Linked DNA regions of Ovis aries. The protein of the gene in region 3 interacts with the protein of the main gene of each other region in a pairwise test. Links are inferred from orthologs where the notes say so. Each region holds a gene or a part of one and is shown on either strand. Other genes may lie near its edges. The genes, in order: TRIM42, MIIP, STK16, KCTD14, SAXO1, ADAMTSL4 and PLSCR3.

What was found.
Region 1: the proteins of STK16 (region 3) and TRIM42 interact in binary tests that used the Homo sapiens proteins (3 or more experiments, as listed by UniProt). The two-hybrid records come from large-scale screens. The link is inferred for Ovis aries from reciprocal best matches to the Homo sapiens genes STK16 and TRIM42.
Region 2: the proteins of STK16 (region 3) and MIIP interact in binary tests that used the Homo sapiens proteins (3 or more experiments, as listed by UniProt). The two-hybrid records come from large-scale screens. The link is inferred for Ovis aries from reciprocal best matches to the Homo sapiens genes STK16 and MIIP.
Region 4: the proteins of STK16 (region 3) and KCTD14 interact in binary tests that used the Homo sapiens proteins (3 or more experiments, as listed by UniProt). The link is inferred for Ovis aries from reciprocal best matches to the Homo sapiens genes STK16 and KCTD14.
Region 5: the proteins of STK16 (region 3) and SAXO1 interact in binary tests that used the Homo sapiens proteins (3 or more experiments, as listed by UniProt). The two-hybrid records come from large-scale screens. The link is inferred for Ovis aries from reciprocal best matches to the Homo sapiens genes STK16 and SAXO1.
Region 6: the proteins of STK16 (region 3) and ADAMTSL4 interact in binary tests that used the Homo sapiens proteins (3 or more experiments, as listed by UniProt). The two-hybrid records come from large-scale screens. The link is inferred for Ovis aries from reciprocal best matches to the Homo sapiens genes STK16 and ADAMTSL4.
Region 7: the proteins of STK16 (region 3) and PLSCR3 interact in binary tests that used the Homo sapiens proteins (3 or more experiments, as listed by UniProt). The two-hybrid records come from large-scale screens. The link is inferred for Ovis aries from reciprocal best matches to the Homo sapiens genes STK16 and PLSCR3.

The regions. Positions count from the first base shown.
Region 1 is NC_056054.1:248,852,209-248,855,708, reverse strand, and holds part of TRIM42 (tripartite motif-containing protein 42), read left to right. Parts: intron 1-2,391; coding exon 2,392-2,616; intron 2,617-3,500.
Region 2 is NC_056065.1:40,918,923-40,922,422, forward strand, and holds part of MIIP (migration and invasion-inhibitory protein), read right to left. Parts: intron 3,497-3,500; coding exon 3,444-3,496; intron 2,725-3,443; coding exon 2,595-2,724; intron 2,446-2,594; coding exon of another isoform or gene 2,349-2,445; intron 1,257-2,348; coding exon 1,122-1,256; intron 840-1,121; coding exon 617-839; 3' UTR 1-616.
Region 3 is NC_056055.1:221,193,131-221,197,245, reverse strand, and holds the start of STK16 (serine/threonine-protein kinase 16), read right to left. Parts: upstream 2,801-4,115; 5' UTR 2,755-2,800; exon of another isoform or gene 2,605-2,754; intron 2,395-2,604; 5' UTR 2,291-2,394; coding exon 2,205-2,290; intron 1,731-2,204; exon of another isoform or gene 1,707-1,730; coding exon of another isoform or gene 1,663-1,706; coding exon 1,443-1,662; intron 1,193-1,442; coding exon 1,059-1,192; intron 888-1,058; coding exon 767-887; intron 642-766; coding exon 546-641; intron 137-545; coding exon 15-136; intron 1-14. UniProt on the Homo sapiens protein: Membrane-associated protein kinase that phosphorylates on serine and threonine residues. In vitro substrates include DRG1, ENO1 and EIF4EBP1. Also autophosphorylates. May be involved in secretory vesicle trafficking or intracellular signaling.
Region 4 is NC_056074.1:15,598,689-15,602,988, reverse strand, and holds the start of KCTD14 (BTB/POZ domain-containing protein KCTD14), read right to left. Parts: upstream 2,801-4,300; 5' UTR 2,746-2,800; coding exon 2,677-2,745; exon of another isoform or gene 1-2,676.
Region 5 is NC_056055.1:87,546,761-87,550,260, forward strand, and holds part of SAXO1 (stabilizer of axonemal microtubules 1), read right to left. Parts: intron 2,892-3,500; coding exon 2,712-2,891; intron 1-2,711. UniProt on the Homo sapiens protein: May play a role in the regulation of cilium length. Stabilizes microtubules at low temperature.
Region 6 is NC_056054.1:100,567,590-100,571,661, forward strand, and holds the start of ADAMTSL4 (ADAMTS-like protein 4), read left to right. Parts: upstream 1-1,272; 5' UTR 1,273-1,457; intron 1,458-1,601; exon of another isoform or gene 1,602-1,684; intron 1,685-2,174; exon of another isoform or gene 2,175-2,289; intron 2,290-2,863; exon of another isoform or gene 2,864-3,097; intron 3,098-3,990; 5' UTR 3,991-4,072. UniProt on the Homo sapiens protein: Positive regulation of apoptosis. May facilitate FBN1 microfibril biogenesis.
Region 7 is NC_056064.1:26,965,612-26,969,677, reverse strand, and holds the start of PLSCR3 (phospholipid scramblase 3), read left to right. Parts: upstream 1-1,266; 5' UTR 1,267-1,700; coding exon 1,701-1,707; intron 1,708-1,971; coding exon 1,972-2,231; intron 2,232-2,338; coding exon 2,339-2,381; intron 2,382-2,482; coding exon 2,483-2,703; intron 2,704-2,977; coding exon 2,978-3,139; intron 3,140-4,066. UniProt on the Homo sapiens protein: Catalyzes calcium-induced ATP-independent rapid bidirectional and non-specific movement of the phospholipids (lipid scrambling or lipid flip-flop) between the inner and outer membrane of the mitochondria.

The DNA.
Region 1 (3,500 bases), on a different chromosome or scaffold from region 3:
GTGATGTCTGCTCTATTCTTGGGCTTGAAGAACAGTCTCCCTGGGCCCCCTGGGCTTAACACACCCTTGATGAATTCAAGAAAGGAACGTATATAGGAAAACTCAGTGAAGTCACTGACTCTCAAAATAGGACACCTAAACCTACTGCCAGACAGTGGCATTTGGTGTAAAAATATCATTTTTTTAAAATATTTTCACCTGAATAGGTGAAGTACACCTATTTCAGGATCATGGGGTATAGTTCACACAGGAATCATAGTGCTCAGTGATAACAGAAGTTGAAACCAGTGTTGGCATCTCTCTTAAGTGATGATTGACTAACAGTTCTCTTTTATTTGGGGATATTTGTTTTTATTTTTTTGAATTTAACTGGACTATAGTTGATTTACAATGATTTTTTAGTTTCAGATGTACAGCAGAGTGATTCTGTTACAAATATACATATATTCATTCTTTGTCAGATTCTTTTTCATATAGCTTATTATAGAATATTGAATACAGTTCCCTGTGCTATATAGTAGGTCCTTATTGGTTATCTATTTTATATACAGTAGTGTGTGTGTGCTAATCCCAAGCTCCTAATTTATACCTCCAACCGTACACATTTCTCCTTTGGTAACCTTAAATTTGTTGTCTCCTTTTGGCACAGGAAATACTCTTTAAGTTAGTCTTATGGGTTGTCACTATGTATCTTAAAAGTCTTAAAAGATTTTTTTATAAAAACTCCATTTTATTTCTAGAAATCCCCCCTGAGGAAATGATTAAAAATGTGATGAAGATCCATGCCCCAAAGCGTTCAATGCATCATTATTAGAGTATAAAATTAGAGCCAACCTAACTGTTCAACTATAGAAGGACCAAATCATTTATGGGGCAATTATTAAAATGGTGCTTTACTGAATTTTTAATGATATAGGGACATATATAAAATGCAATAAGTGGAAAAAAGCAGGAATTCAAGCAATATAATCCAAATTACATACATTTTTGTGTTCGTGTGTATTCTGAAATTGGAAAGAAATAATAATGAATTATTAACTGAACTCTGAGATTATAAGAGATGTTTATTTTCTTTCTTTCTTATACTTTTTATGTGTTTTCCAAGTTTGTATTTAAAACAAGTACATTTTGATAATCAAAAAAATGTTTAAAAACTTTATACATTTATATGACTTATTAATAAGTCAGGCTTTTATACTTTTAAAAGTGTAAATATATAAAAATAATTATAAAGTAATCATGCAAATTCAGAGCAACTTTAAAATGTGTATACTTATAAGAAATTTATTTTATACACAACAACATTTTTATATTTTTAATTGATAGATATTTGCTTTACAATGTTGGTTGATTTCTGCCATACAGCAGCGTAAATCAGCTATAAGTATACATACATCTCCTCCCTCTTGAACCCCCCTCCCACCCCAACCTCCATCCTACCCCTCTAGGTCATCACAGAGCAGCTGGGCTGAGCTCCCTGTACACACAATAACACTTAATTTTATGAAAATTTAAATAAAGTATGCAATGTCTGTTTAAAAATACAGCTATTATAAAATATTTATATGTCAGACACAATCTACTAATTAACATTTGTTAATATTTCTCTTCCCAAGAGTTGACATTTTATGCTTTGAGTATGAAAATATGTTCTCCATTACTTGGATGAGTCATTTCACCTCTTTGGGACTCTTTTGTGTATAAATGAAGGGTTGAAATATATACACTTTTCAACTTCTAGTTGAAATTGCTAAATGTAACCTTTCTGAGCTCCTCTGTAAAATGCCTGCATACATGGTCAGTCACTCAGTTGTGTCCGACTCTGCAACCCCATGGGCTATATCCCTCCAGGCTCCTCTGTCCATGGAATTTTCCAGGCAAGAATACTGGAGTGGGTTGCCATTTCCTACTCCAGGGGTTCTTCCTGACTCAGGGATTGAACGCACATCTCTTGTGTCTCCTGCATTGGCAGGCAGGCTTTTTACCACAGCAGCACCTGGGAAGCCCCCCACTGTAAACTGGGATAATAAAATCTCCCTCCAAGGAAGTTGTGAGGACCACATGAGTCAGGCCATGTCTGACACAGACATGATGCATAACAGGTGTTCAGTAAATGGTAGACACTTTGGTTAGTGGTGTTCAGAGGGCAAGATCACCTTCACGTTGACTGACAGGAACAGAAGCCAGAGGAGCATCCATCTGTTCTTAAAATGCATGATAAACATCATGTCAGGACTCATCACCCAGACCCTCAAGACTGTTGCACAAGGTCTTCAGCAGCTAGAGGGGCTGAGTCAGTTTAAACTTACCCCATGGGGTCAATAACACAGATCTTCAAGGAAAAGCATGGTGTCTGCTAATACCCCCACTAACACATCCACTTCTTCCTAGGTTTATTGGACATGCCCAACAGAAGACGTGGACTCTTTTGAGATGGAATTCTATGAACTCATTACTTCCCCTCCTAACAACGTGCGGACAGAGCTCTGTGGACAAATTCGGGACATAATGCAGCAGAATCTGGAGCTACACAACCTGACCCCCAACACCGAGTACCTGTTTAAAGTGCGAGCCATCAATGATAACGGTCCCGGGCAGTGGAGTGACATTTGCAAGGTACTGTACACGTTACTTCTCAGACAGATGTTCTTGATCCACTTTGGATGCAGCTGTCAGGATGATCGTGAGATCATGGAACTCACCCTGTGACAGGCCCCTCTACTCCCAGAAAACTTGCTACTCAAGGACACAGAGAGGGCCCCTGGCCTCAACCAACTTTGCCAATGAGGCCTGAGAATCGTCACTTCCATCTGATTCAGAAAACATTCGTGCCAGGTATCAGGTTAGGATGTAGAGATTCCAAGGAAAATAAGACATAATTCTTGCCTTCAAGGAGCTCAAGGTCTAGAAAAAATAATCTTGGTGTAAAAAGGACCAAAAAAGTGACACATTAGCCCCAGTGGTGATTCAAGCAAAGATAGTGTATCAGATTTAACCAATATAAATACAGGACGCATGCAATGAAGAAATTTTTTAGTGTTAGTGTATCCTATGCCGTATTTAGGAAATAGTTATACTAAAAAATGTATTTGTTGTGTATCTGGAAGTCAAGGAGTTGCCAGTGAGCAAGCCAGGAAGGACTCCCAAAAAGGAAGGGATAAGATTATTTCTATCTTTTTTTTGTGATGCAAGGCTGGTTCTTCCTTGTATCTCCAGGGGCAATACATTCAGGGGCATAATTTTATTGATATTCAAAAGAGAAAGGGAAGAAATATGCCAAGACTGCCTAGAACTATCTTACTGTACAACCATGATGGTGCTCTTAGGAATCAGAGTAAATTATATCTTAATCAGAGATTCTTTAGAAGTAAAGAGAATAAATCCATTCCTTTTGACTTTTGAAAAGAGAAATTTATAGTACAGAGAGAGAGGACTTTCATGAGACCACTTCCACATGAGACACACACCTGATACGCAAGAAAACCGGCAAGTCATCAGTT
Region 2 (3,500 bases), on a different chromosome or scaffold from region 3:
GGAAAGACAGACGCTGCTTACTAATTCAGGAGGGCAGAGGTGAGCACTTGCCTCTGACTTGAACCTTCCTGGCCTTTTATTTCCCCAGGTGTCCCTGCTGGGGCTCTGAATCATCCATGGTTTCTAGGGTTGGGCTTGAGATGGAAATAAAGGAGCCACGGGACCCAGGAACTTTAAGAGCATTCCTTTATCACTGGACCCCGGTGTCAGGGGTCAAGAAGGAGGGGCTCATTCACTCCCCACTGTCACAGCTTCAGCCTCATCTACAGGGGCCGGCCTGAGACCCCAAGCCCCTTGCTGAGGGGGCCTTTTAATGCTGACCTTGACCCCAGCCTGCTTTGGGGACCCTCACCCCCAAAAGTGCCACACTCAGTGCTGGATCCACTCCACCCGGCACACGCTGTCAGAGGCGTCCTTCCCCAGATGAGGAGGGCCAGGCTGAGGCCAGGGCACCTCTGAGATTCTAAGGGCATCGGCAGGACAGACCCGGCACATGTGGGAATCTGGGGCTGCAGGGAGCACTGAGCTTTACTTACAAACGTGTCACAGAATCCCCTCACCCCAACCCCAGGGTCCCCTTCTGTGTCCCCAGGAAGGAGACAGGCCGGGGCCCAGCCTAGGAAGGAAGGTGGGGCCTGAGTCCACCTCCAGCCAAGACTGGGCAAGGCTCCCCTCTCGTGGGCACCCCTGCCAGAGCGGTGAAGCTGAAACGACGGCAGGAGCACTGTTCACCTCCAAGTGGCCAGTCCTCAGGGCTTCGGCTGGGAGGAGCGAGGCCGGGACATGGAGGAGGGTTCTGACCAGATTGGGGTCGGGGGTGGGACCTGCATTGGCACAGCCTAGGGAATGAAGAGAAAGGTCTCAGAGGGGGCCTCTTTGGGATGGGTTCCCTCCATATGCAGCCTCATCCCCTTCTGGATCTCGGACTTGGGGTCAGCTTCCAGGGCATGGTAGGGTAGCCAGTGGGGAGCACTGGAGACTGGAAAGGTGCTGGGGGTCAGGGCCAGGGATATGGGAGCCCACAGAGAGAGGCTTCCAGGTTCTGCGCCCCTCCCCCAGAGACTCTGCAGTCCCCAGGCTGCTCCAAGGTGTCTGCCCCTCCCAGGGCACCCTGGACGTACCAGGTGAGGAGAGCCAGTGGCTGACAGCTTCTGATGGTGGGCCTCAGAGGAGACACTGGACCAGAGGTCCAGGGTCTTGGGAGCTGAGCTCTTCTCAGACTTCGGAGGGATAATGTCCCAGCCCAGCAGGCAGTGCTGTGGAGAGCAAGGGATTAAGGCGCCTGGCTGGGAGCGGGGCTCCCCACTGACCAGGCAGGCCCAGGGAGGGGCTGCACCTCTCCTTCCGGACTGGCAGCCTCCTCTAGGGCAGGGCTGTGTCCCCCATGAGGGTGGAGGGACCCCCCGCAAATAATCAGTGTCTCCCATGACTGAGGCTCCCCCAGGGCAGAGGTCTGTGTCCACCACTGTTCCCCCGGGCCTCCCTTTCCTAATCCTGCGGACCCAAACCACAGATGGGTGGAGGGAAGGCTGTGGATGCTGATGGAGCACATCCTGTGTGCCAGGCTCTGCTCCAGGCCCCTAACAAGTACTGACTCACTGACCTGCCCCCCGCTCACCCCATAAGCCTGAGGACAGTACACTGGACCCATTTTACAGATGAGCAAACGGACTTTCCTCAGTACTCCTTCTCCTTGCTTCCACTCCAGCATCCTCGGCCTCAACTGGGAGTGAGTGGGGTCCCCACTGACCCCTGTCCTACCCAGAAGACACAAAGGGTGGCTCTATGGGGGAGGCATCATGGAAGTATAAGACCCCAAGTTCTACCTGGCTGACCATGGAAAAGGCACCTCCCCTCTGCCTCAGTCTCCTCGTCTGTAAATTGGAATAACAGCAGGACCTCTATTCTCTGGAGAAGGAAATGGCAACCCACTCCAGTATTCTTGCCTGGAGAACCCATGGACAGAGGAGTCTGGCAGGCTACAGTCCATGGGGTCGCAAGTGTTGGACACGACTTAGCAACTAAACCACCACCACTGCACTCTCTGTTGCTTGACCCCACAAGATAAACCCCCTGAGGACTGTGCACACGGCACACAAAAGCATGAGAAATCAGACCCTTTTGCATTATGCCAGCTCACGGGCAGACGGGGGGTGGGTGGGGAGCCTGACCTCCATCAGGGAACAGGAACAGCACAGGTGACGTGAGTGGCCAGTCTGAACTCCAGAGACTGGGGTCCTTGAGCCCAGCGTCACTGTGTGGCTCTGGGACAGTCCTGGCCCTCTCTGGGCCTCAGGACACAACTGAGGACTGGGCCAGACAGGGGGCAGCCCTACCCCCATCCTCACCCGGGGCAGCGCCAGTGTGTCGGAGGCGTCGAAGCTCTTCCGCCGATGGATGCGGTGCCGGTGTGGGGGATCCAGGACGGACAGTGGGATGCTCACCCTGGGGGTGGCGACAGTGGGGGCGCTCCTGCAGGTCTCTCCAGGCTGCGACGCCCAACCTGCCCCCAAGACCATGGGCCCCAGGCTCTGCTCCCCTCTGCCACCGCCCCTGAGACTCCCCTGGGTGTCCTGCCCACTCAGGCCACTCACCTGACCTGCGCTGGCTCCGCCAGGGTCCCTGCACCCTGCTGGGCCCGTGGCTTCCTGCACAGGCGGCAGGGGGTGCCAGGATCCGCAGGCACCAGAAACAGGCGCCGGTTGACACGGTAACAGTACACGCCTGTGAGACCAGAGAGGAGCAGAAGTCCCTCCTCAGCCAGGGAACCTAGACCCCCTGGACCCCAACCACACAGGCCCACCAGCCCCTGCACAGCCCCAGTGGCCACATTCACAGGCCCGCCCACGTGTACACGGAGTGTGCACACATACACGTGCTCACACACAATGACACTGAGCACCGCTTTCTACTCAAGCATGACACATGCGTGCACACGTGCTGGCATCTTCATACATTCAAGTGTCATCTGTGCACACTCAGAGCACTGCTTCATATAGCCACATTTGTGGACATATACGGTGTGTTTATACTTGTAATCACACACAGTGCACACACATATATGTCCACGTGAACACACCTCACACACGCATATACATTCATGGATACAAACACTATATGTTGCATGTACAAACCCACAACATAGACTCAGGTGCTCACGTGACAGCCAGAACCCCCCACCTCAGATGACCCATATGCAGAGAGGAGAGGAAGGGGGCGCGGGGCATGTGGGAAGCAAGGCGGTTGGGGAAGCTGGCAGTGAGTGCACAGGGCTGGCCCTACTCCCCATGAGGCCAAGCCTCAGCTCACCCCCACCCCTTATCCAGGGCTCACCATGCCCTGTCGGGACACCAGGCTCCCTCCCTGAGTCCTCAACACTCAGCTGCTTCCCCAGGCCCCCAGGCCTTGGCTGGGCTCTGGGGTAACCAAGTGTTTACACTCACATTCGTGGTCCTCCTCCACAGCATCACTCTCCTGCAAGCCTAGGAAGTGGGGTCTGT
Region 3 (4,115 bases):
CCTTTCAAGCTCACCTGGGGTTCTGCGGGATGCTGAGTTGGTTCTGCACTGCAAGGGCCACGCTGTCACCCTTCTGGAACACCATGTCGTAAGGGCCTTCCCCAAACATCATGGCATATAGCACACAGCCTAGGGACTGAGCATAACTTGGTTATTCCTTGGAAGAGGACCAATGGAGTCATCTCTCTCTGTTTCATTCTGTAGTGAAAGGAGGCTGCAGTATGCAGACTTCAGTCACGTGACACCACCAGGGCCCCAGAGAAACTGCCAGTTAGCTGGAGGCCTCTGCGTCTTGTGCTGAGCCGCTGCCTCCAGCCCTGACATTTAGTTATACTTATCCTGCTCAAAGGGCAAGATTATATCACTTCCTGAGCAACTGAGTACAGTGTCAGTGATAGTTCCCAGGAAGGAAGTCAAGGGGGGATTGGGACATACATGCTTCCTGGGGCCCCATGCATTGGAAACCAAAGACTTGCTCCTCCAGTTCACAGCAGCTACAGAGCAGCACTCCTCCCCTTCCACGTTCCCACCCACACGCTCCTCACCCAAACATCAGTCCGCTCATCGATGACACAGTGGCTTTGCACGGAGAAGAGCTCCGGGGCCCGGTAGGAGATGGTGCACCGCTGGGCTGCCCAGTCCTGGAACAGTGGCCCCAGAGCTCAGAAGCAGGGCACAGGTTTTGGTCATGTGCCCAAACTGGGGCATGGACCAGAAGGGGCTGAGGATGAGGAAGAGATGGGCAAAGGACTCTGGAAACTCTTACCTGGAGGGCCAGAGCCTGGCGGGAGCCCTCCACACGGATGCATGCTTGATTCATGGACCCCAAGTCCATCAGAACTGGCTGCCCCTCATCGCCAAGCAAGATATTGGTGGGTTTCAGGTCCCTGCAGGGAAGTAGAAATGACCCATGAGCATCCCTGAACCAAAAGCCCAAGATCCTAGGGGGAGCAAAAGAATCATGGGGACTGTTCCTGGAGAAGAGCACAGAGATCTCTCATTTCTCTTCATGAGGCTCTTCCTTTCTGTCCAGCAAGTACATGGAGCCTCCCACTGACCTGTGGGCATAACCCTTGGTGTGAATAGCCTCAAGGCCTCTGCAGATACCCAGCAGCAGCTGAATGATTTGCTCTTCAGTCAAGAAGTTGCCTTTGTCCTTCAGCTTTTCTATCTCATTCCACAGCGTACCTCTCTGCAAAACAAGTTTCCCCGCAGCTGATGTTTTTAGCCTCTGCTCCCTGAGCCTGATTCTTTCCCTATGTCAGAATTTATAGCAATTTCACCACACACCCTACAGCCCCAGGTGGGTTCCTTAAACCCCAAATCTGAAATGCTCAAACCAGAACATGACTTCTGCTTCCTAATGTGCTTGAGTGCTCATGATAGCCCTTGGCACACACCGCTCTGTTGCAATCCCATCCATAGCCAGGAGACTTTCTGACCTTGAAGAAGGGTAGCAGCAGCCAGGCCTCATGTTTAGTGCCTCGCTCTCTCAGACAATAAGCCACGAGGTGAAGGATGTTGGGGTGATGGAAGAGGCGATGCATGTCTGCTTCTCGTTGGGCCTCCTCCCGGTCCTGCTGCTCATGACACAGGATTCGCTTCAGGGCGTAGAACTGTCCATCATGCAACCCCTCCACTAGGTCCACAAAGCTGAACCCACTGTGGGCCAAAGGGGTCAGTGAAGGACCAAGGTCATCTCCCATACTGCTGGGATCCAGAGGAATTCCCTGGGAAGAAGTGCGAGGGGAGGGGGGGGTGTCTCCCGTTTACTAGCAACCCTCCCAAGGTGTGACTCTAAAAAGAAGTCTGAAGATTATTCACATAGAGCAAGGACACAGTCACTTTCTAGGTCCTATGGTCTTAATGCAGGGCTTCAATAAATACTAAATAGATAACAGCCAACCTTTATCAAGTGCTATTTATCAGGCAATAGGGGAGACACTTGATACGAATTATCTCATTTAGTCCTCACAGCCCCATCATTGAAGCAAAATTAGCTCTAATAAGCAGATAAAGCAACTAGGGCTTATCAAGGCCATACATGGTGACTCTAGGAAGACTGGTTCCACAATCCACTTTCTTGACTACCAAGGAGCTGGGCTCCGGCCGGTGAATTAGAGGCTCTGTGCCCCTATCTTGTGCTGACTGCTGTCCTTCAAACACCACAATTCTTGGGACTAAATGATTTCCAAAACACTCACCCCTCCCCCAGTTTATGGATGAAGAGGTAGCGCTTATGGTCAATGGTGACAGTTCCCCGAGAGCAGATGCAAAGCGCGTGGCCCATAGTGTCTCAGTCATCCTTCTCAAGGACGGTCTGAAGCTGCCAAAGGGTTCGTCCAGGTCGAGTGGTCTCTTTCAGGCAAGTTGCTGGGGCTCCAGCAGATCATGCTGGAAGGAAAAGAATGGCAGGTCATGGGCGGGGCACAATCCAGATGACCCCCCCCTAAAGGGCCAACGTGAAGCGCTCAGGCCCAGGTCTCCAAACCTAGAGAAAATAAGCCCTGGCAACGCCCGCTCCAAGAAGGCTCGGGTCAGGTGCCTTAAAAGGGCCCAGGCCCCTCGGCGACTCCCAGGCCACTTCCTCCAACCCCGGCCCACCTTCAGGCAGCCCCTCACTCGCACACCCCGTTGGGCTGTAGAGGCAGGGCACGGGGTAGATCCGGAGAGGAATGCGAGGCCTGGACCCACCGCTTGCAGAACCCACTCCGGGTCTCGGTCTGGGTGGGCCAGCCAGGACACCACACTCACCCGGCTTCAGCGGGAGGGAAGCGCCAGGGGCCGGAAGCAGTAGTACGTCATCAGTCCGCGCCGGCGTAACGGCCCGCAGTATCCTAGCAACCGCTGAGCACTAGGACGATGTGGGGGCGTGGAGCTGAGAGGCCGGGGGCGGGTTAGGCCTGGGGGAGAAGGGGTCCCAGGACCCGGGTGAGGGTTCCCCACCTGGCCTGCAGTGAGGGTCAAGACGCAGGCACCTACGTCAAAGGGGAGCAAAGCCGGGCTCGGCCCGAGGCCCCCAGGACCTGCCTCTCCCAATGCCAGAGGTAGGAGGCGTCATACCTCCCGTGCACCGGGTGGCCGACTGGGGTCCAGCCTGGAGGTGGATGCTCAGAGGGGGCGGGAGCTGGCAGTTTGCACCCCTTTGCAGCTCTGATCAGTACAACCTTGGGGGCTCTGGCCTGTATCTTATTACCGTAATCACAGTAGTTAAGAGCTCAAGCTCTTCAACTAGACTAGGGTCGGAATCTTAATAGCCCATTAGCTGTGTCACCTGGACAAGTTACTTAGCCTCTAGGAACCTCACTTTCCTTAACTGTAAAATAGGTGTAAGAGTACCTAAAGTTAAATGCATGAACTCTGAGGCCAGACTGCCTCATTCAAATCCCAGCTCTACTAAACTAGTTATGTGACCTTGTTAACGGGCTAATATTTCTATCCTCCAATCACCTCATCAGTAAAATGGAGATTATTATCTACTTCATGGAGTTGTTTGAAGATTAAATGAGAGGTGAAGTGCTTACTATAGCGATTGATGCATAGCCCTGAGTAGTGTCCATAAGCAGAAATAACAATAATAACTATCCTGGTCTTCACATCCCAGGCTTGGGACTGTGAAGGCAGTGAGTGATGGAAATTCACAAATTTCCAAACCTTGGAACTTTGATGTCTCTTGCCCAGGCAGGGGTAAATTGGAAAGGGGCGCACATCCAAAGATGATAGGATGGCCTAGATGGTCTCTTTTGTTGAAACAGGACAGGATTCTCTAGGAAGAAGATTCCTCTTGTAACCTGATCCCCACCCCAACTCCCACTCCCCTTTCATATACTGAGAAAATATCCTCTGGTTTCCCTTGGGTCTGAACCTAGATCTGACATTCATCTAGATTTAACCTGCTGTGTACTGAGCCCTGTGATAGCAGCAGAGGACTCAGGATGGACAAGGCTCTCCCTATCCTCAGGGGGCTCAGTGTAGCAGAAATCTACTTCTCGATCCTGAATGTGCTCAGAGCACCCGGAAATCTTGTTGAAATACAACTTCTGATTCTACAGGTCTGAGGTAGGGTCTGAGACTCTGCATTTCTAACAAGCTCCCATGATGAAGCTGGTTCATGA
Region 4 (4,300 bases), on a different chromosome or scaffold from region 3:
ATCAGGCTCCTCGGTCCATGGGATTCTCCAGGCAAGAATACTGGAGTGGGTTGCCATGCCCTCCTCCAGGGGCTCTTCCTGATCCAGAGGTTGAACTGTCTCTTATGTCTCTTTCATTGCCAGGTGGGTTTTCTACCACTAGCGCCACCTGGGAAGTGGCGGCTGGGATCAAATCCGTGTCAGTCTGACTGCAGGACAGTATGAGTGCTCTACTCCCACCTTCCCAACACCCAGTCCCACCGCTGCCAAATTATCAGCTATGATCCTGGGGCATCTCACTTCCTTCTCCGGGCTTGAGTGTGTTAGTTGCTCAGTCATGTCTGACTCTTCGTGACTCCATGGATTGGGGCCCACCAGGCTCCTCCATCCATGGGATTTTCCAGGCAAGAATACTGGAGTAGGTTGCCATTCCCTTCTGCAGGGGATCTTCCTGACCCAGGGATCGAACCTGGGTCTCCTGCATAGCAGGTAGACTCTTTTTACTGTCTGAGCCACTCTGAGCTTAACCTTAGTCATCTATGACATAGGGAGGCAAAATGGATGAAGAGAACTCTGAGTCTCTTCAGCTCTGAAAATTTAATGAATCCAATCACTTCAAATGTTGTTTCTGAAGCTCATTTCCAGATACTAAACAAAATAGCCCCCTGCCCTGATATCTTCATCCCCATTTCTTTAACATCCAAGACCCGGGCCCTGTTCCCAAGCTTCTTAATTCTGTCCCTTTTCCCTCCTTGTTTTCTAAAAACGCCAAACCTCTTTGGGAATCCCAAACCTCCTACGTCATCCATGAATACTGCTGTATTTGTTTCTAGCAGATAAAGACTTCTTTCCCATCCCTCTTCTAGACTACCAGCCCTTCCTTACAGCCCCTCCTCCCCACCTGTTCTACCCAGTCACCCTGCTGAAGCATTCCTCAATGGGCAAGTCTGACCTGTGTGCATTGGCTGGAGACATGTGGGTATCAGACTAGTGCTGGTACACAGGGATGAATCAGACAGGCCCAACTCTAACTCCACCAAACATTCATACATTTCCTTACGTCACTCTTAGTCTAGTCAGTGGAGGGACATCTCCAGTCATATGTCCCCAAGCCCCAAGATCTCTCCCCGCACCACAACTTGGACATTTTCCTGCCGCATCCTGTCTTAGTCATCTGAGCCAGAAACCTAGACTGTAATCTTGCACTCTGCTCATGTCCTCAACCTCCCCACACACAGGTAATGAGGCACTAAATCCTGGGGATTCTAAATGCCTCGTCAGATCCACGGCTCCTGGCTTCCTGGAATGTCCTCACCCAATCCAGTCTCAACTCTGAAACCAGAGCAGTTTCTCGGAAGTGCAAATCTGATCTAGTCACTCCTTGCATTAACCACTTCTGTGATCCCACATATCTTTAAAGGTAAATTCTAGACTCCTTAACGAGGTTTACAAGGCCCTTTGTAACCCTGACAATCAACTACCAGAGCCAGTACTGGTCTCCCTTCCCGAGCCAACCAGAGCATGCTGGGCCCCACTGTCCGCAGGACGTCACTCGCTCACCACCCACGGTCCCATCACTCAGCCCACTCAGCCTTCAAGTTAATTGCTCTGGGAATTTTCTGGATGGGTTGTCTACTTGTGATTTTAGAGGCCCATGTACTTCCCTCGTCATGGTAGTTATCGCTCTCTTGTAATTTTGTTCCTTCATCTGAATCCCCCACTACCGTAGAAGGCTCCTAAGGGAGGACTATTCCCAGATTCATCTTCGTGTTACCAGTACAAATTGCAGGGCTCAGCACAGGGGGCTGCTCAATGTGTCTGTTGAACTGAACCGCACTTACCCTCAGCACTGACTCACAGGAGCGCCCTGCGGTTCTAATAAAGGCCAGTCTTGCCCTACTTAGCATCAGGCGTGGTCCAGGCTTCCTCCCTCTTCTAGTAATTAATTCAGACATTTATTGGGCACGTTGGGTGGCCACGCCTCTGACCAGGTGACTTTGTCAACAGCCAACAACAATAAGGCTGTCATCACCTGACTGGAAAATGCCACAGTCGCCCCACGGCTTGCTCTGCTTTCCCTTCCTACAAGCCTTGGAGATGGCACCTAGCCCGGGAGAGGTGAGAATGCTCTGATACTAGAGTGCACTGGGCTTTTTCTTGATACTCCCCTTTGGTCCCCACTCCCCCTCCATACCCGCAAATCCTGGGAGGAAACAGGCAAGCAGGAAGACTCAGGAGCCAGCCAGAGGGCAGGGGTTCAGGTTGCAGAAGGGGTGCGGTGGGAGGGGGGGCGGTGGACGATACTCGGGCCCGCCCCCAGTGGGGGCTTCTCCCACCGGCAGGAGGGGTGGGGCAGGGAAGGAGGAGGGGCAAGCCAGAGGGGCTGCGAGAAGAGACACAAAGCAGACAGGGAGGAGACCACACAAAGGCCGCCAAGCCGGAAAGAGGGCAACCAGGAGCTGCTGGACTGAGCCGGAACCGGCGCCGAGACCGGGGCGCTGCCGGAGAGAGCGAGGCGGCAGGAACAGCCCAGGTGGAGAGCCCCCAGCCGCAGGCCGAGAGGGGCGCGCACGAAGCAGGGGAACCCAGACCTGCGGGGAGGGAAGGGTTAGAGGGCCCTGGAAGGAGTGAGGAAAGGGAGGGCGGCGGGCCCGGAGCCGCGCGGGTTTGCACGCCCGTTGCGGGCTTCGCACTCACCGTCCGCCGGCCGGCGAGGGGCGCGGCCCGGCCGCTCGGCCGTGAGTCGGGCGCCGAGGTCAGGCTCATCTCCCCCGGCCCCGCGGGCGCTGGCCCGTGCGGGCTACTTGTGGCCGGCCGAAGTGCACCTGGCTCCCGCCCGGGGGTGGGGGAATCCTACCCAGGGTGTGGTGAGAGCCCTGATTGGGCTGCAGTTGGCCGTAACACCCTAGGCTGGTCACTGCCCCTCTCGTGTCTGGGTTGCTGGACAGCCAAATGGGGAAGGGAGAGGGAACTGACGTTGACTCCCTGGACGCTGTCCACTCAATACAGTCGTGGGGGTGAATGATAAGAAACACCCATTTTACAGGTAAGAAAAGTGAGTCTCCAGGGGACAGTGGATTATATAGTCACCTCAGATCAGCTGCTGAACGTGCAGCACATGCTAGGTACCTGCTGTGTGTGTTATTTTGCTGGTAAAATATAATCCTGGTGATCCGGGATTATTACTATATTATTATTAAAGAATCTGCCTGCCGATGCAGAGAACCTGGGTTCAATCCCTGGGCCCCCCTGGTCCGGGAAGATTCCACATGCCCCATGGCACCTAAGCCCAGGGGCCACAACTAAGCAAAAGATTTATTTACTGTGCTCTAGAGCTTGGCCACCTCATGCGAAGAGTTGACTCACTGGAAAAGACTGATGCTGGGAGGGATTGGGGGCAGGAGGAGAAGGGGACGACAGAGGATGAGATGGCTGGATGGCATCACTGACTCGATGGCCGTGAGTTTGAGTGAACTTCGGGAGTTGATGATGGACAAGGATGCCTGGCGTGCTGCGATTCATGGGGTCGCAAAGAGTCGGACACGACTGAGTGACTGAACTGAACTGAACTGAAGAGCTTGTGAGCTGCAACTGCTGGAGCCCACGGGCACTAGAAGTCCTCCAGTCCCAGCTAGAGAATAGCCCCCTCCCCCAGCAACTAGAGAAAGACCCTGCACAGCCACCAAGACCCAGTGCAGCCAAAACTAAATAAATAAAACTTAAAAAAATTAAAAATAACTATTAAAAAAATATTCCTTATGAAGTGGGGAATAACTCTTCTGTAGTATAGGCCTGCATAGTGACCTTCCAAAGAGGACAGTATGGAAAGAGAGGGGAACAGAAGAGTAAATGCACAGTGGAGAAAATGACAGAGACAGCTTTGCCAGGTGATTATCCAGGTGATCAAGGTCAATAGCAGGAGTCAGAAATTATGATGATAATGTATATCCTTGATAGAGTGTGATGAAAATGGCACTTTTTCTCGGTGATCCTCTTCCCCAAAACCCACGCATCCATGCATGTTAAGTCACTTCAGTTGTGTAGCCTGCCAGGCTCCTCTGTCCATGGGGTTCTCCAGGCAAGAATACTGGAGTGGGTGGACATGTCATCTGCCAGGGGAACTCCCCGATCCAGTGATCAGACCGGGTGTCCCTTGTGTCTCCTGCATTGGCAGACAGATTCTTTACCACTGCAACACTTGGGAAGCCTCTCATTATTTATTAAGCAGTTAAAAATAAACATCAGAGCAGTGTATACTATGGGAATTCAGTAAAGACATAAACATAAACCTCATGTAAATTTATACCTATTTATGTGAACA
Region 5 (3,500 bases), about 130 Mb from region 3:
TCGGGCCATATGACTTTGTCATGTAGCAGGTGGCATGTCAAGCAGTCCCAGGTCCAACTTCAGAAACTAAGCCAGGTCTGCCTTTACATAGCAAAGTGGGCCGGACATTCTGACCACCAGAGTCCAAGAGCAGAAGGATGGCAACCTTCACAGACGCAGAGGTGTGCAGACACAAGGCCGACCTACCCCTTCCTCGCCAACCTCCAGTGGAGCACCTAGGTGACAACATCTCCACATTTCCCTGCAGGGAATAGTGTTATGTATTCAGAGATATGGACCAGAGTCTCTGCTGAGTTTACAAGGTTCAGAAAAGATGGTTAGTAAAATCTTGATTTTTGTTGATTTATGTCAGTAAAATCCCACCAAAGCTAAAAAAAAAAAAAAAAGGCATCCTGATAGTGGCATGGTTGTTTTGTTTGTGTTTTTCATTCTATAAAAATGTGCCCATCAGGGCAGGCATGGGACTGAGAAATGATGAAACTGAGGGACAAGAGAGAGAAGAGATGCCTTCTGCTCATCTCCACCTTAGTCCTCTTTCTGGGGAAGAAAATAAAGGAGAGGAGAGAGGTATTTCCGTCCTTTTTCCTTCCCATGGTTAACCATGATCCTGCCACTTCTTGTTTTTAAGGTCTTTATGATCATTAATAAGTTGTTTTGGAAATTCTTTTACTACCTGCATTCCTCCGCTTTGGCCACATCTTCACATGAATGATTTTATTATTCTGGCCTTGGCAGGGACAGAGAGGATTTCTGGGTGATATGTTTATTGTTGTAAGTGACACAGGCAAGGATAATTTAGAACAGGTCAAAGGGCCAGTTTTTGTTTTGCAAAGAAGGAGAGCATATGGGGGAGGGGGGCATGATGGGGAGGAGAGAGGGAATGTAGGGTTCCACTGGGGGCTCACAGCTCAGGCATGGGGCAGGACTACTGCTCCAGAGAAAAGGTTTGTCCTCATTCTCCTGAGCTTGTGGGTAACAAACAGAAAGCATCCTTCAACATCCAGCCCTCCAAGGATTCAAATATTTCCAGGACAATATCTGAAGCCACTCTGCACTCTACATTCCATGAGGCACTCTTTATACTTGGGTATAAAGAGAAGTGAAGACTAGCATCTTAAAACCAAATGTGATATTCACAAGCCATTTCTCCATACTGCTCTTATCTTTTCCTACCAACTACATGTCTTTTATACACAAGCCTAGTTCTTTTCATGAGTATCAACCGTAGGTTTTTCAAAATGAAAAGCAACATTTGAGAATGTTCCACTTCTCTCTCTTGTTGAGGTCTTTAGATTCTTAGAAACAAAGGATGTTATTTTATTGGCAAAATGAAGCCCAAACCCTAAGGTTTATGTTGTTTAGTAAGCAGGTGGCATAGATTACATTTTTTTTTCATGAATCAGGACCCAGAAACCCTGTGCTTAAATCAAATCAGTTAATACAACTACTCAGCATAAAGGTGGCCTGATTCAAGAATCAGACCCTTGACTCCCTCCCATTCTCAAACTGCCTCTGTCCACCAGTTCCCACTAAGTCCAGGGATCACTTGGCTTTGACCTTGCCTGGTGGGTCTTTTCTACCCCATCACCCAGACATGGACTTCTTTGGATATACAAGATAAGCAGCATATAGTACATGCCTCCAACCCACGTTCTCAACAGAGGATGTTTCCAGGCCTATCCTGGAGGAAACCTGGAGGCAGAAGGAATGGTGTTCTGCTTAGTCTGGGCCATCTGGGACCTTTATCAAAAAAGCACAAAATTGCAAGGCAAAAGTGGGGGCAGCATGCAATAGGAAGAACATTTACCAGATCTTGAAAACCTGTAATATGTGGGCATCATACTAGGACTAGTTCATCTCCACTGCACAGCAATGCTGCCCCTCAGGGATGAGGATCATCAGAGGCAGAGAAGGCATCCAGCTCTCAGGTCTTAGCTGGGGACTAAGCTATATAACCTGAAACACTGCCCAAGTAACTCCAAGGTGTTGGTACTCCTCTGGGTCATCAGTCACAGGTCAGATGTCACTCAATGAGTTGTCAACAGCCTGATTCTGTGAGAGCCTTGCAACGCAATGTGTAGAACAATCCTGAGATTGACCACGTGTCCCCACCCCCTCAATACAGATAACCCTGCGGCCCTGATACGTTGAGCCACGGGGCTCAGTCTCTGTACAGAGCTGGACCTCAAGAATCAGAGTTTCTAAGTCAAGAGTAATTAAAAAGGAAATATTCTTTGTTTATATTCTTGATGTATGGTCAAGGGGACCTCAATTCAAAATCTATAGCATAACTTCAAAAACGCTCAAGTTCTCTTTCACCACCACCAACATCACTACCACCACCCAAGCTGAACTAGAGCTTATGTGCAAAAGCCCAAAACTCCTTTTTCTGCAGCAGCCCTCACCGCCTTTCAAGTTATTACTTCCCTTTAATACTTTAAGCCTTTCCATGTAGGTCAATTTGCAATTCCTGCCCCATGGCCCCACCCCTGCCCCAGCCCCAAGCAAGAATCCTTGCTCACTAAAAGAGTGATGGGGAAAACTAAACTGGCTAATAAATGCAGGATTCTCTTTCAGAGATTCTGAGTAAATTAACATTAAGGCGTTAATAGCACGTATTGGCAGTGCACATTAATGTAATATTGAACATTAGGTTAATGTACGTTACTCCATCAGTGCTCTGCACTCATACATTCACACCATGCCCTCACCTCGATGTGGTCAGGCCTTCCATCGGCGTGCACGCTCTCTGGTAATCCATCTTGGGCTTGAAGGACTCTCTGGGCAGGTAAGAGTGATAGACAGGGTAGTTCTCGGTATATTCGGAGAGAAGACATGGTTTCTCTGTTTTGTCATAAATCTTGGTAGGGAGGTGTGGACAATGATGCCGCCTAGTTAAAAAAGAAAAATGGAACGTGAGGCTGGTTACCTTCTTGCGAAGAATACATTCAGGCTGCTACCTACTCAAAATGTGACCCAGAGTATAGAATCATGACGGCCAACATTGAAAGCAGGAGTTTAACCCTTCTTTTTCTCTACTCAACTATATGAAGTGGCCAGAATTTTTTAAATGATCTGTAACTGCAATTGGTTAATTGTCAAAATTCCTTCGATCATAAAGTTACAAAGCATAGCTGATGACCAGCCCTCACATGCATCATGCCTCTCATTTAAATACTGAAACACTCACATACTATAGGGAAATGGTTGTGGCCCCCGAGGCATCTGAATGCCAACCCAGTCCCTCCGAAGACCCCACTTCACCTCCCAGCCACCCAGCAATTAAAGGCTTAACATCTGACCTAACAGGGGGCTCCAAGGCTATGCTCAAGGGCCAGGTTTACTATCTTTCCTCATTGGTTCCTGGGTCAATTGAGAATATCACCCTCATACACAAGTGGCATCACACAGAGCAGAACCACCTCAGTTCTGAGCATATACCACCGACTACGTGAAAACATTTTTGCACTGAAAGTCTGGTTCCTTTCTTCTTTCAGGTC
Region 6 (4,072 bases), on a different chromosome or scaffold from region 3:
CTGGGACTCATCTGTTTGTTCTGTTTCATTCCAAATATTTCTATTAACTCTACAAATACAAAAACCAAAACAGAAATACAAAAGATGAAAAAACAGAGATGACACAAAGTGGCCTAAATGGTCCTTGTCTTGAGAAAACTTAGGGGTTTATTGAAATAATAATAAATCATAATAAAATTATAATTTTATAATATAAATTATATAACTTATAAATTATAATAAAATATAGATATTGAACTTCAAATAAGGATATAATACTTATACTTAAAAGCATTTTATGTTTTCACTTCCCTCATCTCTTGAGACAACATTTGCTTCTGTTGAGTCCAGTACTTACCTCCCAAGTCTGTCTCCAACTAGACCCAACTCCTTAAGGCCAGAGGCTGTTCTAACTGTGCCCTCCACACCAAGTGCAGAAAGTGCTCAATAAGTATTAGGTGGGAACACCTGATACCCTGCTACTGAATATCCTGGTTTTAAAATATTGACAAGTCACTGGAAAAAAATAAATAAATAAAACCTTTCAAATGCTTGAGAGTAGACCCAACAGTACATGACTGTAGTTCATGAAAAAATGGCAAATAAAACTTTTAAAATAGTGGTGACAAGAAAAATAATGACTTTATCTACTCTGTCATTTTACGTGTATTATTTATTTCTTTACCATAAAAAACAGATAATGCCTGTGGTTAAACATTCAAAAACATATAAGCATACAGAGTAAAAAAGTGAAAGCTTATATTTTTATTTTCCTCTCCCAACCCCTCCCCAGCTGCTGCCCCCAGTTCCGAGTTTGGGATGTATTCTTCCTGATCTAAGTAACTAGGCAGACATATCTCCAAGCCTATTCGTGTATGTCAGGTTAACCCCATTTTACAGATGAGGAAACTGCAGCACAGAAAGGTTGAAGCATTCATCCAAGATCACAGAGGGAGATTCAAATCCAGATCCTCTGATTCCTAAATCAGCGCATTCCTTGCGCTACGCCCCGTAGGTAACATTTATGGATGAAGAAACCGAGGCTTAGAGGGTCCCTGAGCAGTCAGAACCACATGGTTCACAGTCCAATTTAGGAGAAGCAGGGATAACTGGGCTTGCACGGGAGGCTGCGTGATGGAGAGGGCCCTGACCAACGTGGAATCGAGGTCAGGCTTGACCATCTCCCAGCCCAGCAACGCCCCAATGTGGGGCGCGGGGCTCGCCCACGCCGCTCGGGTACCGGCGCCACCAACCCCTTGGCGCCCCTCGCGGCCGCTCCGCCCGGGCTGGCGCAGCGCTCGCACCGCCCACTCAGAGCCGGTCGGGAGACCGCGGTCCCGGAGACCCGAGCCCCAGCCGGGTCGAGGGACAGCCCTGGCGCGATGGCTCCCTCGGAACCCGGCTGGGACCTCCTCGGCCTCGCCCCCTGGAGCGGTCGGCAGGTGCCGGGCGGGAGCGGCCAAGGCCCGCAGCCCAGGGTGGGTGGCCCTGGCGGGCTGGGGATTCGGGGGCCGCCGGGGGGCTGCCGCCGGGCGCGTGGCGGGCGGGCTGGCGGGGCGGGGCGGGGCGGGGCGGGGGCGGAGCCGCGGCCGGAGGCGGCCGTAGCCCGGCCCAGGGGCCGCAGTGGCTGCCGCGGAGCGAGGCTGCCTGGAGGGAGCGCCCGGGCGCAGAGGGGTTAGCTGGCCGCCGGGGCCGCGCAGAGCAGGTACAGATCTTCCCTGGGACCCCTGGCCCCGGTCGCCCTCTCTCCCCCGTCTGGTTAGACCATCCGCCCCACGCCGCCGCGCCGTCCGGGTTCTCCGAGCCCCGCGGTCGCGCCCCAGCCACGACCCCGGCCCCAGTTCTTATAGCCTCGGAAGATCTTCCAGTCCCTGGGGTCCAATTCCTGGGGAGGGGGCTCTGATCTCTTGGAACGCTGGCCCCATCACTCGGACGAAGAATCAGCCAAAATTCCTACACAGAATAAAACTGGAAAACACACCCAGGAGCTCCCGGCACGCGCCGGGCACCTCCTGCCCTTCCCCTCTGGAACGGTATTTCTGGATGATGCGTTCCTCCCCCATCCCCCCAACCCTGTCATCCGCTTCCGTCCTGGGTTGGGGGGCACAGACGCTGGGAGGGTTACAAGTGGGTGCCCCGAATCCAGCTCAGCCTGACGACTAGAAAGGCAGGACACCTGTTGGGTGGGCCTCCAGGACCCAGGAGTGGCACAAGGAGGACCAAGGAGTTCTCGCCCAAGACAAGGACTCTGCAGCCAGCCCTGGAGCCCTGGACCCACCCCCTGCCCCTCAGTGCCACTGTTCCCCAGAGGTAGGTCTCTTGGGGTTAGTGAAGCGGTTAGTTCTGCCCAGGTCACTCCTCCTTGATCTCCACTGGCCAGTGTGGAGTTGTGGCAGGGAGGAGCCCAGGTTTGTCTAGACCAGTGTCAGCCGGGCCCAAGAATGGCCAGTTCTGTCTGACCTCTCCTTTCTTCACTCTGGACAGTGAGGCTCACCAGATGAGAAACGGAAAACATGAAAAGACTGAAAACCACAAATGTGTATCTGTTTCTGCAGCGTTTGTGTGTGCCTGTGTGTGCATGTGTCGGCCCCCTGCCCAGCTATGCGGGGGGTGGGGTAGGACTTTTCCAGAGAGGGAGCCAGGCCTGGCCCTGGCCCCAGGAGCTCACGTCACCCCACCCCCCACCCCTCACTTCTCCAGGGAGCTGCCAAAGCCAAACCCAGCTCAGGACAGGATTATGTGTACTGGGTAGACCCATAGAGAGAGACAGCTAGACACAGGCCTGGGGTAGCAGAGAGAAGCAGAGGCAGAGGAAGTGGAGAGGGGACCCAGCAGCAAGAAGTGGCAGTGACCAGCCTCCCATCTCCTTCTCTTCAACCACCAGGAAGGGAGTCAGGCTGAAAGCTGAAGGTTTGGGTGGAATGTTGGCCCTTCTCTGGAGCCCCTACCCGCCTCCTCATCAGGGCGGAGTTGCTGACCTCAGTGGTCAGCCCAGCCAAGGGAAGGAGCAGCCATCAGCAACCCCCTTCACAACCCCAAGTAGCTGAGGAGACCGTTCGGGCACAGGCCCCGCCACTGTGATCCTTCTCAACATCCCAAGCGCTGGGGTCTCAGGGAGGTGAGGGGGAATGGATTTGCTACCTCCAAGCACATTCCTGCCCTTCCCTCTGTCATTTTCCTGCCCCTGAGCTGGCCCACCTCAGCATTAGCTCCTTGGATTCCTCTCCCGGGTGCCTTTCAGATCCAACAGAAACATTTTTTTTTTTTTCCTGGAAAGCAGAGCTCAGAGCAGCATGAAGAGTGGGGGTGGGAAGGGTTCATTGTGAAGGGACTGGAGGGCCAGGGGGAGCCATGGGAGAGCCAGGCTTAGACCAGGGGAGGGTTCCAAGCTCCACTTCTCCAGTGATCAAGCTGAGACTGCAGGATGGACTTCCTGGCTCTTCAGAAGATAGACCCATGAGTGACTGGGGACCAATAGCCTCTCTAGCTGTATCTCCCCTCCCCAGCTTCCCCCAGCCATCAGAGTCTTGCCTGAAGGAAGGCCTCATTGATCCAATGCCAGAGGCTGGCCCCTAGAGGGAAGTTAAATATCACTGGGGAAAATCACCTGCTTCTCTAGAGATAAACCATCAGCCCATTTAGTTTATCCCTTGGCTGCAAAGTTTGAGATAGGCACAGTTGTGTCAAGTGTTCCAGAAGGAGCTTATTAGGTAAGAAGGCAAGAAAAGGCTGAGAAGCAGGTGGGAATGGAAAGCCCAGGGGGCTTCCAGTCAGCAGCTCAGAGAGGATGTCTGAAAAGTCCTCACTGAACCTCCCTCCTCAACCCTCTTAAGAAAGATGCATGTGTCTGAGCTGGCCTAGAGACAGTCGCTGTTTAGGACACAGGAGCTGAGAAGTTCCTGAAGCTGAAGGAGGGGACTGCGCCTGAGCTGGGAGGCTGAGGGCAGACCTCCACCCCTTCAGCTTGGGTAGATGGACAAAGGCAGTGCTCCTTTTCCCTCTCACCTTTAGGATCATTAAGGGATGGACCAATCTTCACCCCTCCATTCTCACTCTGAGTTGTCCTTCTGAGAAGTCATCCCTCCCAATCCCC
Region 7 (4,066 bases), on a different chromosome or scaffold from region 3:
AAAATGCCACATACCTTTTTTGATTGCCTGTCTGAAATACAGTAGGGGCTCATTAAATCTACACTGAATAACTGAATTTCCGTTTGTGTTTTGGTGGAGGTTGGTGCATGGTTTGGGCCAGGTAGGCACTAAGGGATACCAGGAGAGAGGTCTGGCACTTGGGTTTGAAGCAGATGATGACTGAAGCTGTAGGACCAGCCCAGAGGAACAGGGACAGAGGAGCCGGCAAACCTGCTTCTCCCTATGTTCATCTTGCTGGGTGAGACCCCGATCTGCCTGGTCACCAGACAGGCAACAGAAGTCATCCTGGACTCCTCACCTCTGCATCTGACCTCTCAAGCAAGTTCTCTATTATTGTCTAAATATAGCCAAAGTCTGCCGCTTCCCGTCTGTCTACACTATCACAGCCATCCCCTCCCCCAGACTACTGGCAACAACCCAGTCTTAGGTGCCTCTGTTCCCCACCACGCAGTTTAAATGGTTTTCTAAAATAGCTGACCTCCCTCCGTCTTCGTAAAATCTTTCAGTGGGCTCCTGCTGCCCTGGGGGCCAAAGCCCAGCTCCCACAAGGCCTTCTGCGCACGTGGCCCGAATTCTTATCTAAAAGGGCATTTCTTGCCACTAAGCCTTTAGGCCCCCAAGGCGCAGGACCCCCTCACACCTCCTGGCCTGGGCTCAGGACTCCAAGCCGAGGAAGTGATGCCTGTTGGGGAAGGCCTGCCTGCGTCCGGGCTGCCTCCTTAGCCTCGCCTCTCGCACGCTCGTTACTGACACTGTCTGGCGGCCTGTCGCGTGGCTGGGGGCGCCTGAAGGAAGGATTGTAATTGCAAAGTGTCCGTGTGTGTCACTGCTGCGTCAGGTAGAGAAGATGGGCAAGGTAGCCCCAAGGAGGCAGAAGGGGAGCCAGGAGCCAGTCGGAAAAGCCAATGGGTGAGAGTGTAGGGTGCTTGGCTGCGTCAGCGAGGCCGGAACCGCCCTCAGGAGGAGGAGCCTGGGGTCCAGCGCCGCGCGAGCGGCCCTCTCTCCCACTAAGGGTCACTGGTCACTCTCCGCCCGCAGACCTGGCGGGGGTCGCAGGGTTAGGTCTCACCCGACTGCCCTCCCAGGCGAGCTTCAGCATCCGAGCGGAAAGGGCGGGGACGCCCGCCAAGCCACGGGGCCCCACCGGAAAGCAAGCATTATTTCTGCGCAGGCGCGCCGCTCTGGCCGGGAGGGGCGGGGCCTGGACGGGTCGGGGGCGGAGTCACCTCTGGGCCCGCCTCCACTAGCTCCTCGGGCCGCCGAGTGCTGGGCACCCGGGCTATTCTAGGGGCTTCAGGTGAGCAGGGGGAACAGAGGGGTCAGGAGACCTCCTTCGAGGTCGGGTCGTCGGTCTGACTGCAGGCCCATCTGTCCTGCGGTCTGCCAACAGCCGCCTCCGCGGAGAATGGGAGAACAAAGGGAGGGGGCGGTACTGGGGCCCCTGCGGGAATCCAGGGTCCCAGCGCCCCCGCCTTGCCCGCTGACACTTTCGGTTTCTCCCCGAGTCAGACGCGCCGCCCTAGAGACCCTGGGCCGGCGCTGGGCGCAGCCGCCTCTCCGCGTTTGCCTGTCGGTCTTTGTGTCTGTCTTTGTGTCTGTCTGCTGTCTTCGAGCTTGCCTCCACTTCTAGAACTAAACCTCTGGGACACCGAGATCCCGCGAATCCTCGCCTCTCTCCCATGGCAGGTAAGTGGGCGCAAGGTCGAGGGTCTCCGTTATCCCCCCCACGGACTTGGTAGCCCGGTGTCAGACGCATCCTCCGGGAATGTGCTCGGACTGGCTGTGTGGGGCCCCTCCCTTCCTCCCCGAGAAGCCGCCGCCCTGCTCCCCCGCCCCATCTTTCTCATTCTCTTCTCATCACAATTTCCCCGCAGCCTCGCGGCCTGTGGGCCAAGGGGTAAAGGGATGAAGTCAGGGACCCCTTCTAACCTACTCTTGTCCCCCCCACAGGCTACTTGCCCCCCAAAGGGTATGCCCCTTCGCCCCCACCTCCCTACCCTGTGACTGCTGGATACCCGGAGCCGGCACTGCATCCTGGGCCTGGGCCCGGCCAGGTGTCCGGGCCCGGGCAGGCACCAGTGCCTGCCCACGTGCCTGCCCCTGCGCCGGGCTTTGCTCTCTTCCCCTCGCCTGGCCCTGGGGCCCCGGGACCAGCTGCCCCCTTCTTGCCATTGCCAGGGGTGCCTTCCGGCCTCGAATTCCTGATGCAGGTGAGTGGGAGGGAGGGAGGGAGGAAGGAAGGGAGGAGTGACAGGGAGGGGACCCAGGCGACTAGGCAGGCCAGCTGATGTCCGCCTGGCCCCTACTGTCTTTCCAGATTGATCAGATCTTGATTCACCAGAAGGCTGAGCCGGTGGAAAGTGAGTGGAAGGAGGAATAGGTTGGGCCTCATCACGGGGGCAAATAGTGGGCTCTGGGGCAGGCGCTGGTGTCGGAGCCTCAGCATGTCACCCCTTGGCAGCGCTCTTGGGCTGGGAGACCTGTAACCGCTACGAACTGCGCTCTGGGGCCGGACAACCCCTGGGTCAGGCGGCGGAGGAGAGCAACTGCTGTGCCCGGCTGTGCTGTGGTGCCCGCCGGCCCCTGCGAGTCCGCCTGGTGGACCCCGGGGACAGAGAGGTGCTGCGCCTGCTCCGCCCCCTCCACTGTGGCTGCAGCTGCTGTCCGTGTGGCCTCCAGGAGGTGAGTGGGGAAGGCTGGGGCCGGAGAGAAACTCGGGTAAGGGGCTGGCCAGTGATGGCGGCAGAACCTGGGTGAGGCATGGGATGAGATGGTCTTCTGATTGGAGTTGGCCAGCAGCAGGTGGGATGGGAGGCCTAGTGAGAGGGAAGACAGGTGGTCTAGTGAAGGGGATGGAAGGTCTCATGAGGGGAAACAGATGATAGAGCTAGACTGGTGAGAGTTTGGGGGCCAGGGTACCCGGCTGGGCAGTGATCCTGTCTGTTTCCCACTCCAGATGGAAGTCCAGGCTCCACCGGGCACCACCATTGGCCATGTTCTACAGACCTGGCATCCTTTCATCCCCAAGTTCTCCATTCAGGATGCTGACCGCCAAACCCTCCTGAGAGTGGTGGGGCCCTGCTGGACGTGTGGCTGTGGCACGGACACTAACTTTGAGGTATCAGGAATAAGGGGAGATTCCTGGGACCTTCATAAACCAAGGCATCCATGAAGCAGGATAGTCAAGAGCTCATTAATCCAAACCTGCTGTGATGCCTACCACATTGCTGGCTTTTCTCTACTCAGAAATAAGATGGACCAGGATCTTATAAAACATGGCTGAGGATTTCATCTGAAGGGCCAATGCTGATTGCGATCTGCAACCTTGTGTTGAGGGAGAAAAAAATTAGCTTAGGCCAGGCTGGAGTTAGGGTGAAGGATGATTATTGAGTGTACCTTGGGCTGGGCCCACATGGCGCCTGTGTGTGTGAGTTCGTGAGCCCAGGCCCTGGAGCAAGCACTGATTTCACTTGTTAATATCCTGTGGCTTACCTTGCCAAATGTCCACCCATCCACCCCTAGTCTGAAATCCAGGTGATGTCCTTCTTACCATACATTCTGGTTACCAACCCAGAGCCTAGAGAATCCAAGTGGTGACCATTTAAGAGTAAAGCCTGGGAAGCACCTTCTTTTCTAGAAGATAAAGGCACTTGAATACTTTAAGAGATAATTATATGTGTAGATAAGGGAGGAAACAACAGGTATAGTCTGGTAGGCTTTCCAAGGCTTCTGATAAGGTGCTCTACCTAAGGTTACTTTTTAAAACTGAGTCACCTTGGTACCTGGGGAAAGCTTCTTTGATAGGAACTCATTGGCAAAGAGATAACTTGATGATCTCTGGATGGGAATATGTAGACTGCATGGTTCTTATCAGGTCAATCTTCCTTTTATGTAATATGAATGGTCCACATTTGGGGTTGTGCTCTTGGGACCACAGGGCTGGCTGGGAGAGGCCCTGCCCAACCTGGGACTGGTCTGCAGGAAGTGCCCCAGGGCTGTAGGACCTTCGGGGAAGGGGATGGGCAGGACATCACTCCAGTTCTAG